Neodiprion lecontei: one gene and its partner. The protein of the gene in region 2 purifies or fractionates together with the protein of the main gene of each other region. This does not show direct contact. Links are inferred from orthologs where the notes say so. Each region holds a gene or a part of one and is shown on either strand. Other genes may lie near its edges.

Evidence for each region.
Region 1: the proteins of MKI67 FHA domain-interacting nucleolar phosphoprotein-like (region 2) and 60S ribosomal protein L18a fractionate together in Homo sapiens (co-fractionation; 3 studies listed by BioGRID and IntAct, with this or other methods). This does not show direct contact. The link is inferred for Neodiprion lecontei from reciprocal best matches to the Homo sapiens genes NIFK and RPL18A.

The regions. Positions count from the first base shown.
Region 1 is NC_060266.1:18,811,805-18,818,891, forward strand, and holds 60S ribosomal protein L18a, read right to left. Parts: upstream 4,184-7,087; 5' UTR 4,056-4,183; coding exon 4,038-4,055; intron 3,613-4,037; coding exon 3,433-3,612; intron 2,917-3,432; coding exon 2,581-2,916; 3' UTR 2,502-2,580; downstream 1-2,501. Other genes in the region: uncharacterized protein LOC107225246, read left to right, coding at 5,394-5,481, 5,567-5,827, 5,904-6,106.
Region 2 is NC_060260.1:4,668,373-4,676,813, forward strand, and holds MKI67 FHA domain-interacting nucleolar phosphoprotein-like, read right to left. Parts: upstream 4,842-8,441; 5' UTR 4,725-4,841; coding exon 4,638-4,724; intron 4,497-4,637; coding exon 4,305-4,496; intron 4,201-4,304; coding exon 4,092-4,200; intron 3,997-4,091; coding exon 3,098-3,996; 3' UTR 2,863-3,097; downstream 1-2,862. Other genes in the region: uncharacterized protein LOC107226332, read left to right, coding at 5,289-5,956, 6,085-6,394, 6,472-6,812, 6,937-7,153, 7,234-7,572, 7,651-7,804, 7,935-8,098, 8,188-8,441.

The DNA of each region.
Region 1 (7,087 bases), on a different chromosome or scaffold from region 2:
TTGACAGTATTGGAAAATAGAGATTTCTAAAAACAAATGTATTGTTTTTTAATAACACCGGCCCAATTAAATTTTAAAAGGCTTATGGTTGAATAAACTTCAGATTTGGGTTTAGCGGACCAAAATGCATAAAAATCATACTTGGTCTATACTTCCATAAATTTTTTTCTTACCAAAAATGCTAATTTTTGGCGATTTTTATGGTTTTTTGCAATTTACTCAAAATTTTGAGGGTGTACGGGCAAAACTGACTTCAGATTCGGATTCAGCGCGTCAAAATACATAAAGATAGGTAGGTCCGGTCAAAAGTACAGACCACTTTTTTGTTTGTGGGCCGGTGTTATTAAAAAACAATACATTTGTGTTTAGTAATCTCTATTTTACATTACTGTCAAAACTTTTCCTTGTCAAAAAAGAGGCGCCAAAAACGGGGAACAAATCGATTCGCTCTCGGAATTTTATTGTTTCAATTATTTGTTCTCTTCTGGGTTACCCCCACTACAAAAAAGGTGGGTTCAGTAAAAAAAAAGCAAAAGGAAAGAAGGAAAAAATCGACCGGCTCTCGAAATTTTCTTTCTTTGATTTGTTTTTTCTCTCCGAAAATACAAAAAAAAAGCCGGGATTGAATTTAAAAATAAAAAAAAAAAGAGTGAACTGCGATCGAACCCGTGTCCCGCATCACTCCATCCTCATGTTTTTTTTTTTTTTTTTTTTTGAGGAGGAAACCATATTTATTTAAATGAACAATAAATGCTCAAATTTACAATATTGCACTTGTAATTATCTTAGTTTATGTAACTCCGGCTTAAATTTTAAGCTCAATCTAACATGTTGTTTTACATTAATTGGTTAACCAATTTTTTAGTGTTTTGTTTAAGACTTGAATGCAGTATTATAGCAAAGGCAGCAGTAATTAACTTAAATACAGGAAAACTTCGCGCAAAAACCTGTCATTGAAAATTCATCCTCATGTGGTATCCACTCAGCCACACCACAGCTACGTCCGTGATCGCGCGTTTGCTCGGTATGTTTATGGAGCTTGCTTGGAATTCGCTGATGGTTCTCTGGAAGATTCAGTTCGAGAAAAAAAAAATTTCCTCCAACCACTTGCCCATTGCACATTTTGCATAAATGTTATCGAGCTGGCTTCGTATATTTTTCCATAGACTGCGTATACAAATATTCGAGAACACCAGGCGTCACATATTTTCACATCAATAAAAAAATAATATTTATTAGAAAAAAAAAAAAAAAAAGTATTCGGGCTGGGAATGGTTAATTATTTTGGTTCAACGTCCGCTAATTGAATCCAAAATTTATCAAATCTGGAGATACTTTTATTCGCTGACATTCATAATTGAAACAAAAAAATCCCAATTCTTGCATTCCTGGAAACATTTGTGCGAGCGGGGACAAGGATGCGATTGGCAACCGCTTGCTCGAGCGACCGAGTATATCTATATATGCACGATTGTGGGCCACCTTCGGTGCATGGCCGCCTAGGTGTCAGGTCGGAAATGGGCCACCTTCGGTGCGTGGCCGCCTAGGTGTCACGTCGACGCTCCAACCTAGCTGGTATCACGAAAAGCCGAGCGTTGGAGATCTCCCTACTCATCTCTGTTTTTAGTACTGGCAGTCAATTTACGAACACGGCCTTAAGAGTTCATCACTGGAGTTCATCGATTGATCGATCTTGGGCAACCCTACAACCAATGACAATTGGTGTATTCATGTAGATCAGGCCCTTGATTCAGACCACTGATCTGTGTAATATCAGTGATTCAAGACTTATTTTTCACTCGTAAAAACGGCGCTAAGCGCCATCTAGACCGATCAGAAGGCAATTTTAAATTGAAAATATTTTCGCGAATGTCAGAATCAGGCCGAAGATACAAGTGCTGTTATATAAAAAGCGTATTATTTTAAGATTATAATTTGTAGCGTTTTGAACTGATTACGAAATATGGATCCAGTACAATATCTACGAAAATTAATGAGTTTCACTTCACATGTTTCATGTAATCAGTCGTGCAGTCGACTACCACCTATCACTACCTACCTTAGTTTTCTGTTCTCTGTCCCCAAACAAGGTAATGCAGTTTTTTCTCTGACGACTTTTCTACATTTCTTTCAAAATCTCATTCTAGCTTGAATAATTTGATATTTATGTTTTAAACAGCTATTTATCATCCCCGATCAAATTGAGCCGTTGAAAATTGTTTCTAATTAAAGTGAAGTGAGAACTGGATTGGAAACGCTAATGATCATTCGGTAATTACGTTGCCCAAGTTCCAAATGATGAATTGCAGTGATTTAAAAAAATGTCTTGCAGTCTAATCCAGTTTCTTGGGTTCCAAAAACCTCTCACAGATAAAAAGTATTAAAAAAATGGTCAACACACATTCAGCTCTGTAATCTATATATTAATCGAGACGGAAAGAATAATTTCAGATGAACTAATATAATTATTAGTAAGTTTGCATAGAAAACGAGGCTATGAATAGGATAGTTTAAAAATGTTTATTTCCCTTATAAGTGATTATATTTCTCAAATGAATACACCGAAGAAATGCAAATTGCTTAAAGGAAATAGGTGCGTGGTTTGCGTACGCTGAATAGAGGCATACGGTTGCGGTGTTGAATACGCTTGGGCAGCGGGAACCTGATTTTGGAATCATGGAACTGCTTGACTTGAGGTCTGCGGCAGTTTCCAGCCTTTACAACCTCGACTTTGATTATCTGAATGGAATGAGCTCTGGCACGATGACGAGCCCCCATGTCACGGTAGCACTGTGTAACAGCTCCGCTTACTGACAAGTCACGGTATTCCCTGTACATGTTGTGAGTTCCGGAACGGGAGTCGTACCTCAACCAAATACCAAAGTTCTTTATTTTTATCGGAGTTTTTTCTGCGATCTAAAAATTGATAAATTAAATCAATATCTAAAATGCACTGTGAATTTCGGCAATCATATCTTATCAGGATATATAGTAAGGAGTACACCTAATTTTTAATATTAATCACAAAGTCAAGAAAACGTTATTTAGAAAGTAACTCAGTTCAGAATTTATAATTTCCTCAAACTTTTTACGTTTTTCACATGAAAAATGTCAACTTATAGAGGCAGTTTTGGAATTGAACCTAAATACAGTGTTTCAACTTGCAAATATCCACAGATTTACCAACCAAAAACTTTATATTTACTGTAAATATTGGTGACAGCTGAAGTAAATACATAAATCAAAATTGTACTCGGCATGTACAAATATCTTCACTTTATAAACTTTGTAATTTGACGTAATCAAGTGAACACAAGGGTGCGATATAACCTAGCAGATTTCTAATTCCAAAGAATACAAAATCAATGACAATCTGTTTTATCAGAATTGTAACGACTGCATCTTTATTCCAAAACAAAATTTTTACTTTACCTGTTTGAGGTTAACAATTTCTCCAGTCGTTTTCTTGAATTTCCTTAACTGGCGGAGGAAATACCAAAATCGAGACTTGGCCACGATAGCGTCAGGAGCAAATATCCTCATTTTGTACAATGGGGTTACCTTTTCCTTCTCTGTGGGGAGCTTACGCCCGATCACCTCGAATTCCTTCAACTGTGAATAGAAACGAGCTTATATTAATTGATAACATAATGGAGCGGAATGATGAGGCTGTGACAATGAGTGCGTTACTCTCAATTTACTGATGTAATATAACCTAAAATAGAATCGCAGACTGAAGAAAGTCTTGAGAGTAGCTAAAAATGTGATGAAGTAATCAGCTAAAATGGGACAAAATAAGCCGAGTAACACTTCGAATCAATCGGTGTCATAAAGTTGGTTGTAAGAAAAGACTACGATAACCCACATGTGTCGGTTGCCATGCCGTCGCGGTCAAAAATCTGTATATTCGTTGGTAATTCGACTCGTGTTGGATAGATACAGTCGCAATTCGACATATTGGTGAAGTAATGTTCTACAGGCTTAGTTGCAGGTCTATTTTTGCATGATTCTAACAAAAATTGTGAAAATTTACTCACTTCTCCCTTAGCCTTCATTGTTCCGTGCGTCCTACGTGAAGTGGAACCGGAAAAAGAGGCCGCCGTGGTCAATGGACATTGAAAATGGCCGCCATGAACCACCGGGATTCGCGATTTTTAAAATCACTTGAAAATTTTTTCATTGAGAAAAATCGCCACAGGGAAATGCAAAAATCACTGTAGGAATCCATAATTGCAAGAGTTTTTGACCTTTTCATTAACTGCTCAAATGCTCTCCCTTGCATAGACAATGCCATACATTTGTTTGTCCGAGCTAATAATGATCAAGAATAGAGCGGAAACCACCAATTGGCAACTCCGTGATTGCGTCTATATAAAGCCTAGTTTACAACAGTTCACAATGGGCGTCGTATGCGAACGCGGATTGTCACAAACGTAGAGGAAGAACCATATCTGCCATCTCTTTTGCATTTCAAATTTTTTCCGTGAATGCAGAAGGGAAAAAAAGTTGACGGATTTATTCTATTTCTGTGAGTTCTCCCATCTCCTCTCATATTGACCGCCTTTCTTTGACGTCAATTTTCGCACGCAACCAATTCAACACTGAGCCATTTGATTGGTCAGTTCTAACGGAATAAGCCAATGAAATCAGTTAGTGTTGTATTGTGTCAGAGGATTGACGTAAGCGGAGAGCAGCTATGGCCGGCATATTACATAGGAATGCATACGTATCTCTCTATGTGTATAGATATTTTCAACATTGATATTATACAATATAATACATGTTTCATACAATGACCGTTGTGGAAATGCATCACAATACAAATCTTACACATGTCAATCGAAAGTACTTATGTATAAAAAATATATGACTATAATTATACAAAAAAGTTTACACGACTAACGCTTTACTGGATATTTGCTACCCTCCGTGTCCACGGTGTTGCTATATTATTGTGGCCACAAATTTGAGGCAACATGCTAGCTGCGGGTGATGCATTTTTGTTGCGTATTCGTCGAGAATATGCTCTTTTATTTCTATCGGGGATGATTTTATAAAATTGCTGAAACATTAAACATTTTCTGCTTGTTAGAATTGTTGAACCATTTTCACACGTGAAGGGAATTAGTTTTGCGAATCAAATAACAGTAAATGATCTTGTTGGATTGAAGGTCAGAATATTTTTTTCCCCATATATATAGTATCAAGTATTGAAACTAATCAGTGGTAATTCCCCACGCAGGTCAGGTCGAGCAAAATAAATTTATCACTGGTGATAAGGCCAGAGATTATTTTAAAGTAAACAGATATAATATTATTCCACGATTGCAGTTCAAAATTACGAGGCAAGCTGCCAGAGTAAATTAATCTGGTGTAAGTAATACGTTAACAAAATGTCCGGTCTGCTAGTTGCTCTGCCTCTTCAGCTCGCTTGCCAGCTGTATAGTAATGGTAATTTGAGCTACGGGAATAATAGTTTTGGTAGGAGGAGTGTGAAAAATTAAAAAGAGTAATACTATCCTCTGCGTAAGTGATTGATTGGTAAAAACTTTTTGTTTCATTCAAGATTACACGTCAGCGCCGAATCAACCCACTGTTCTACCAGCGGGTTATACCGCGTTTCCAGATGTCGGAGTAGCCTACAAGCTCCACAAAAATCAAGTCACGTGGAACACGGGAAGAAAACTGTGTGTCGCTGATGGTGGGAACTTGGCCGTCATCGACTCCTTCAAAAAGAACGACTACGTAGCGAGCATGAAAGGACTTGGTTCACACGTGGGTATTCATAGATTGTTCGATAATGTCGAATGGGTCAGTGTTAAAACTGGTAAGGTTTAGATAAAACTAACTAATTTCTGATGCTACTTATATTGTCCAGCATATTCGACCGTATATTTTTCTAGGTCAACCGCTGAATTTTATACCGTGGAGACCAGACCTAGGATCTGGGCAATGTGGGGCAATATTTAGTGATGGAAAGGGAGTAGGCCCTTGGAATTGCAACTCTGTATTACCGGTCTTGTGTGAGATTCCAATGTTCACTAATCGCGATAATGAGACAGAAATCGCCCAGAAGCAAATGGTCGCGTTAGTCCGCAACAATTAACTCATCGAGAACGTACCTATTTCTTCGATCATGGACAACACTCTGGGTCAAAATGATTTTGTCTAATTTTTTATGCACCATTTCAAATATACGAGTGCGATCTACCTGAAAAGATTCAGGGGCATACTTTCACTATCTTAAAATATGATAGCGTAGTTTAGAATTATAAATATGACTTAAAAATCTGAATAAAAAGGAATTTTTGAAGAATTACTGTTACAGAAGAAAAGAGTATGAGTCAGAATGACCCACTCTGTGCTTTAATGGTTTAAACCCTGGCAGATTTCGTCTCGCTGAAATTGAACTGAAGTTACACTTAGATTTCGAGGTGTAGTTAGGAATTTTTTTACGCTGTATTTTCACTGTGATTGCAATAAAAACATACCAAAACCCTGTTGCTATCACTGATACCGCTAGTTTTTGTTTTCTCACTCTAGAGAATACATATAGTTCATAAGTTGGCATTGTTTACCTAATTTCAAAAAATAATGACGTCCTTGCTGTTTTCTACTTGCTTCACATTTGTATAAAAATAAACCCCAGATCTCTCTCATAAAAGTATCAGCAAAACATAAATCGTGTAAAAGCAGTGTAGTAAACAAATCTTAAACAAATAAAACTCTCAAATTCTACAGTCCTACCGAGATATCACAAAAATGAAAATTTTCGATAATTAATTCTTAATTTAGCAAATATGAAAATCAGGCAATTTTATCATGAAATTTTATTTGTAAATTTTAAAGGAAAAGAAATTAGTCTGACAAAATATCCAAAATTTAACTAATTTCTTAAAATATTGTGTTCTATAAAAGTAAGAGCAACTCATTTTAATCAGAAGGCGTTGAATTTAAGAATTTAGAAAAAAATAAAAAAAAAAAACAGATTTGAAAAAGTTTCGACTCGTAAAAATTAGAGAGACAAATAATTTTGGCGATACTCTGTTAATTATATCCTAAAGGCTTGCACCTGAAAAATTTATAC
Region 2 (8,441 bases):
GATACGTAACGCGTATAATAGTACATCAATTTAGAGCGAAGAACACGTGTCAAGTCCAAGCCTTTGACCATCTGTGACATACCCGCCGAAAAACTCTCTCTCAATGAAACCGAAGCGAGTGAAAACATCGTAAACTTAGCATTCTCAATGAAAAACGATTGAACGCTACACCACGATCTCTAAAATGGGATATTATGGTACAGGGTTATAAGAGAAACTGGAGCCGGTCTAGTTGCGCCAGTTTTACGCTGTTTTAATTCGTTTTTTTTACACCTCCTCATCGCGCTCTGCGCTTCCTTTCTTTATAAGTATGACAATCCGAAAGAGAAGATGAATGCATAGAATCGTATTATAATCTCGAACAGTACGAATCCCTGCAGGAGTTTCATAGCATTAAACTGTTAAAAATTTCTGTATAAAACATCCTAAGCTGTATCGGAAGTTTTATTCGAATACCATGCATTTACTTCTCATTCGATTTACAAATACAATAACTTTACTACACATTTTAGTAAATTCAAATTACCAATTTTTCTATTTTTTCTACAAATTTTAGTAAGAACGAAAATTTTCATCGTAAATTTCAGACATAAAAAAAAAATACATAATAGTTTTGCATCGATGCATCGAATTTGTAAGTTTGCAACTCTTTTGTACAGTAAACGCTTTGTAAATTCACAATAATTTTGAACAGTGATACATAATATTCGATATAAAAAGGGTTAAAGTTTAGCTTTTCTTTAATCGATGCGTATAATCACACGCGTATGTACACACCTGTATATACCATATATACACTATACGTTGATAGAATAAAATCACGATTCCAACGTATCAAATCGCGCGCCTGTATTTATTGTACGCATGCTGACGTCATCGAGCAAATCGCCGAAAGGGTGACGAGATAGCGGCACGGAAGCCGCGCATCACAAGCGAACGCATCGCGTATACCGCCAATGCATATGTGTGCACATTGCAGATGCGTGTATGCACTCAGGAGATGATGCAACGTTCGGCAGGAGATCCGCGATTCTAGCCAACCCACATTTCAAGTGGTGCGAATCGCCCCTTATATATGTATATTTATATAGGTATGTATATATGTCCGTCTCCCACTCTCGCTCTCTCTTTCTTTCTCTCGTCGCGGCGCCGCAAGGAGAACGTCATCGTATATGACGCATCGGAGATGCAGTTATTTTCATCTCCGACGGCAAAAAGATTGCCGACGGGCAAAAATTCACGGTTTTGCGACGCCCTCCGCGTTATATGTGCATCGTCCTTTCATTCCGTACGACGAGACGTGTTAATTAGGCCATCGGAATATTGCAGGATTACTTCATTTTCGCGTTTTGGACAGGACGAAATTACGCAGTTAATACCGAATTTGAAAAGTTTAGAAAGGCGTTAATTCCGAATTATTTGGTGGCGATAACAGAAGTGAAGTAATCAAACTTTGAAGAAACAACAAAGTTTCGAATGGTCGGAAAATCGACTGATCAAAGTTCCGAATTATGCAAGATTCCGAAAATTCATGTTACGATAGAACAAAGTTCCGAAAAGTAAACTTGCGATAGTTACGCCCTTCCAGCATTTTATCCTTTCGGAACTTTGAGCGTCAGGTTTCAGAGCATTCGAAACCTCGATGTTTCGTACAAAGTTTGATTTCTTGACTACATATTTCGCAACAAAAGAATTCGGAATTACACGCTTTCGACACTTTTTAATTTCGGAATTTGAACCCTATCCCCTGATCGACGTAATTTAAGTGGGTATATAAACAATCAAATTCCCATTTATCTTCGTCTTTTTCTTTCGAGTGTATCGAACTTAACACCAGCTTCTACAAATTTACTTCGTGACAAATATCCAGAGCATAATCCCTATATTTTATTCGATGAAGATAAATAAACTCTTTCAATTATTTCAGAGGCAAGTAAAAGGCTGAGCGGAACCGCGACGGAAAAACCACGCAAGGAAAGAACAGCATTTACTAAACAACAAGTTCGTCACTTGGAGTACGAATTCGCGCACATGAATTATCTCACCCGACTTCGGAGATACGAAATTGCCGTGGCTTTAGATTTAACGGAGCGGCAGGTAATTCTTTGTTAACGTTTATTTTCATAATTATTCAACTAATTCATACGATTTATGTAAATCACTTCGAATGAATGATTGAATAAAGCCTCGAGCCATGTTTGAATAATTCACAAAAATTATTAAACAAGGTGCAGTTAATAACTGTTCACGCGACATTGAATGATAGGGTTATTCAACTCTCATCCATTTTTTTCAGGTCAAAGTTTGGTTTCAAAACAGACGTATGAAATGGAAACGAACGAAAGGGTGCCCCTTATCTCAGAACCGCGGAAAAAAATTATGATTAATTCTGACCAGCGGAGTGGATATATAATAAAATATACAATACATTACGTATTTATATAAAATTTGTTTTTAATTAGAAGAAATAACTAAATTGTAAATATTATTCGCTAGTTTACAGTAAAGCGAATAAATTTATCGACAATATCAAAGGTTTATCGATTTCCGGAGCATAAAATAAATTCTTGAAATATTTCTAAAAGATTTATTATCAGGGCCGTGATAAATATGTATTAAAATTTTCAAAATATAATTATATAATATACTTGACAAACTAAAATATGGAACATATAAACTGTATTTTTTAGCACCAAACTCCATACTTTATGTAAAAAACGAAATAAGGAATAAAATTGATTTAAATAAACAAAATATATATTTACATATTAATCCAGGCCCTATTTGTTATCTTTAACTAAGATTTATTCAACGTTCTGTGCAGAACGTTTGTATAAAATAATTCTTTCGCAAAATCACAGATTACGCATACTTCGTTTATTAAACGCTGTGATGAAATACATGAGCTGTATGTACAATCCATTCCAAGGATCGTAGGAAAAATTATTTACGATTTCTAAAATCGTATATGAGGTAAAAGTTCCATTGATCTAATCGATCATTTTCACGAAACATAAAGTAAACCAAAACTCGATCCGTCACAATTGCTGAAAAACTCAATTACAATTAAATCCAGCTTAGTTCGATGCATCATCATTTATGCCGCTGCACCTTTCTTTTTCCCTTTCTTGCTCAGCGATACTTGAGCTGCTATTTGTTTTTTGGATTTTTTAACCGTTGGTACTAGGAAAGAAATTTTCTTTTGTCCCGACTTTTCAATGAGCGGCACTGCAGCAGGGATATTCTTTTGTACTTTCTGTTTTGTCTTTTTAACAGTTGGTGGATGATCAATCACTTCCACTTGCTGTTTCAGCTTCTTAGCAGTAGGCGGATGATCAATCGACTCAATTTTTCCCTTCAATTTTTTACCTACAAGTAATTCAGTTAACACTGCTTCTTTCTTCTTCTTAATAGGAACGGAATCAGCTGCCATTTTCTTCTTAGATTTTTTTGGCAAGCTTATTTCGGGTACTTGAACTGTGCATGTAGAAATTTTCTTCTTCGGTTTTGGAACTGCTAAAATACTAGCCTTGATAGCTACGGCAACCTCGTCAGCCGGTTTCAATTCTGACTTGTTCTTTTTCTTCGTCTTGTTAATCGCAGGTTCCTTGACAACTGCTTTTTTCTCCACTTTTTGTAAAGAACCATCTTCAGCGTCAATTTCACTCGCTACCGTACCATTGGAAGTTTTTATCTTTTTCGTTCCTGTTGAAGCTGGTCGAGAGGCAGAGCTTTTTCTCTTTTTAACTTGCGTGTCTTCGGGTACTTCAACGGGTTTAATCTTATAGAAAATTCCTGCCTGCTCAAGTTTTTTCTCCATAACAGAAATTTTTTTCATTTTCCGCTGAGCCAGCATACTGTCAACACTATTATCCACATTTTGGTTTTTTCGCATATTCTGTTCCTTTCTTTTCACTGATCGAGGAAATTGTTGCTTACTCCATGGACGCCCTGCGAAATAACGCCCATGCTGTTTCTCAGGCGGAATGTACGTCGCTGAAAACATTTTACGGAATAACAACAGTTAAGAAAACGTCGATACTTTACTGCTTATAAAATGAACTTGAATTTTCCTATCAAAACTAATCTACCTTTTAGCAGTCTTCCAGACATCAGGTAGTTGTTCATAGACTGTGCAGCAATTTTTGCCACTTCGCTGTGCATGAATTCTATGTACCCATAACCACAGCTTCTACCGGTCTACAAGATGGAAATGAATGAAAATACGTGTTTGCAACTTCAATGTTGTTTGGTTATATACTGAAAGAATAAGATCGTTGAAAACGAGGCTCCCAGATATCTACCTTTACAGATCTAACCACTCTAGCTCTGGTAACCTTCCCAAATTGCTTGAAATAGCTAATCATTTGTTCTTCGAAGAACCCATGAGGAATGTGCCCAAGATAAACAATCCCTCTATTAAGCGAAACTGATTCAGTTGACGATGGAACATCGCTGTTCTCGATAGGAATTATAGCTTCGGGTTTTTTAGGTTTCTGAAATGACAAATCGTCGAGTGTCAGTTTCAACTATCGGCTGACCGAAATAGCAGACTTGATTGGACTGGATAAGTTGCCGAATGCGCAACAGATTTATAGGTTATGTTAAACACGTGTTTGGATACATTCGAAACATACCGTTAAAAGTTTTTGCTTCACATTTTTAACGGCTTTGCTGAGTGTCGATTGATCCGATTGATCTGCAGCTTGTTTTGCTATCTTCATATTGTTTTTTCAAAAAAAAATTACTCCACTTTGAATTCTATTTATTCGATTATCGTGTGGAAAAAATTGAAGAAAATTAGCTGATGCGTAACGGTGGCGGGATTTGCGGAATTAAACTTTAGAGTCACTACGGTAGCGACAAAAGGTTCACTGAATATCCACCAGAGGTCGCCGCGACGCGTGATTGCCGCTTTTTTCAATGTATTCCGGAACACACTGTAGTAAAAAAATTGCGAGATCCGTCGGCTCCTGTCACACAACTGTCAACTACTGTCAACGTGAGCACAAGAGATAAGATCAGTAATCATCGATGAGGTTCGTTAATCATGTGTCATTATACGCGTGAAAATATAGACGTTATGGCAGGAATGACAGAGAAGAATATTCATCGTTGTTGCAACGACCTGAACGAAAGTTGGACGACATTTTTTTATATTTAGAGAAAAAGATTGTGAAATATATCAAAGACTTCAAAGTAACACGAGGTGCAACACGCAACACCAAAAATGATACTTATCTGTAGAAACAATTGAAGCAGAAAGTGGTTAACTAACGAAAATAAATATGGAGAAAGTATTCTCGATAAGCTGGTCAAATCGTATTTTATTGATCAGTCTTTTCTCTGTTACAATTTGCATGACGATTCAAACACACGTCGCTCATCTTACTGTGCCGCTTCATTTTTTAATATCTTGGGCAATTTTTGTGATCACTATATCGATATGGCTAAGCTGTTTCGTATTGAGATTAATGCTCAAAGTCAACGCACCTTTGACCACTGAACCTTTCAACAAATGGGCTCAGGGATGGATGAAAAACGACCAAACAGGTAGTAGTCATCAGCCACAAAAACCGGTAGTTAAAAGTGTCGATAACGATGAAGAAACGAAGGACGAAAATCAGATAGACAGACAAAACACAGAGATAAATAATCTTCTCAGAGACCTGAGGGCTGATGGAAATTTAGATGATGGATCTGTTTTAGAACAGGACCTGCCTGTAACTTTTGTGGAAAAAATAAATGTGGAAAAAGTTATAAACGATATTGATGCGAACTTTGTTAAAATTTGGTACAGAAATGTGAGCAATGACGATGCTTTTCCTAACGAGTCCAAACAGTTGCTCGAAAATCTGATTCTTAAATTCAATCATCAATTGATACGAATTGATCGAATTGAATTGGCTAGAAAAATTGGCAATATATTCTTGTTGCATTTGAAGGAATATCGTAGGTAATGATCCACATGTTAAACATTGTATAATTATGCACTGCAATTACTGATTCACCTAGCTTCGTTTTCATTGCAGTCTCACTTAGGAAACTAACGATTTACTGCAATGTTGTTATTCCTTTCATCAGAGCGCTGCGTCGTGTTGAGAAGGGAACTGCACTAGACATCGAAGAAGCCTATCGCTATGTTCATCCGGGTTCGCGAAGCCTAGCGGCGTTAGAGCACAGTCTTCATCGAGTGGTCACTGTATTGGCAAGAGAATTTTTACAATGGGAATTGACTAGTTCGTTACCTTGTAAACTCTTATTTTCAATACTGGCTAAAAAATTGCTCACAGGAATAGAAAGCATAAGTTCGCCAGAGTGGATTTTAGAAGAAATTGTAAGAGCGATTAGCTCAGAACCAGTAAAAAATGAGAAATGTGCTTCGGCTAGCGAGGTGGTAATACCTTCTTTCTATTTATTTGGGGATCTCCTTTAATCCAAATCATACTCATCAAAGTCGAATCTTTTCAGAGTGTTGTGTCTACGGCACTCAGTGATGCCATACGTTCCACAACAGCTGCAGCGATATCGCGTCCCTTACCTAAAGCTGGTCAAGGTGCTGATATTTCACCAGATTTCAAAGATAACAATCAGAATGCACAAAGCACAATGGAAAGGAAAGCTGCTCTGAGTTTGGAGGGCTTAGAAATAAGTCACAGAGGATTGTGGGCTAATGTTGAAATATCTGAACCTGATTCTGAACCAGAGGAAGACAGATTGTCTCCGGTTTATGAAGAACCAACTGATTTTGCAACGACTATCGCCAGACTGCGAAGTCTTTTGCACCAAAAATCCAACGCCTCAACACCATTGTAAATGTGTATTTTTTTCAACCAGTTTAATTCAGACCTGGCCGCTTCTCCAGGTTCATGCAAAATCTTAATTTGGAAGCTAATAAAAAAATAATCCCGAAGCTTCTACTAAATTTAATTGCAGACAATTGGAGGAAAAGTCTTGCACAGTTTACGAAGGCAGCCACTTAACTATTCCTTGGACAGAGTTTCATACGGCACCCGATGGCTCTCAGCAGCTCCTGTACTGCATACAGTTTGACGACATAGAACAGCATGGATCACACTTATTTGAAACTACTACAGCCACCGTTAAGAGGCAGTACTCAGATTTTGTACAACTTCACGCTAGTCTAGCAGAAGTAATTATCAACTGACATACAACCATGCTTAATAATCGCTGAAACACAGACGTAAAAAGCATTCAAATATCTAACTTCAGGTTCCATCATTGGCGGTTGCAATATCAAACATAACTTTACCAGAAGGCGGACGTGTGGAGATGGAAAATTATTTAAAACTAGTTTGCTCTCGTTTAGCTGCCGATTATCCACCACAATTACGTCACTTTTTGAGGCCAAGCAGCAGCAGTAATAAAAAAGCGGACACAGTGGCACCACGCCTAGATAGATTTTTGGCTAAAACCGTAAGCGGAGTATTCAATACTTTGAAAACTGTTGTGCCTGGTTTTGAAATGGATACAGAAATAGAAGTGATGCCGATGCCGACATTAATGTCACTGGCTGATGTTCCGTGGCGGTTTGTTGAGGACTTAAAATCTGTGAGTTTCAAGTGTCTTCCAAAGTTCTATCCAATAATATATTTCCACTACTGCCAATAACTTTTATTATAAAATCAGCAGAATTTAGCTCGAGAATTGCAGCAATTGGTCGCGGAAAGAATGGACTACTGTTCTGTGGACACGGCTTACGAAGCAGTCGAATCGGTCGAAGGTAGCGGTGACTCAGAGCTGCTGGCTCATTGGTGGGAAATTTTTAACACACCATACGACGGTCAGTAATCCTACCTCCAACATTGTACGCGATGAACAGATCTAATTTCCATCAATTAGCAGTAACTACTTTGAGAAGTTCTAAATTGAATGCAGCTATAACTTCAATAATAATATTTTAATTTTTGCAGAAGAACTTGATGAGCTGGACAGTAAGATAACTTTAACGCAACTAGTTGTCGACTTGGCTTCTGAAGTTTTGGGTGGATCCGGATGTGACAACGTTATAGAACAAGAAGCTGTTGTTAGAACTGTCAAATTGTTCTTTGGAAATATTGCTGAGACCACGTTAAAAGTAATGTTATTGACAAATCAGATTGTTAATTAACATTTACGCTAAGTGGCATCAGATTTGACTGTAAAATCCGTCTACTTTTGTTCCAGAATTCGATTCTCAAATCTTTTAAACACTTGGATAATCTGGACATATTTGCCAGCTCTGGTAACGAAAATACTAAAGGATTAGATATACTGCAGGATGAATTACTACAACAATTAATGTCAGCAATCCCACCTCACATAAAGATATTCTTAGGGGACAATGAAACAAGCGAAGCATTTAAATTTCTCATGAGGTCTTTGGATAATAAGAAAATTAATCGAGATTTGTGTTTACAATTATTGGACGTTTTAGCTTC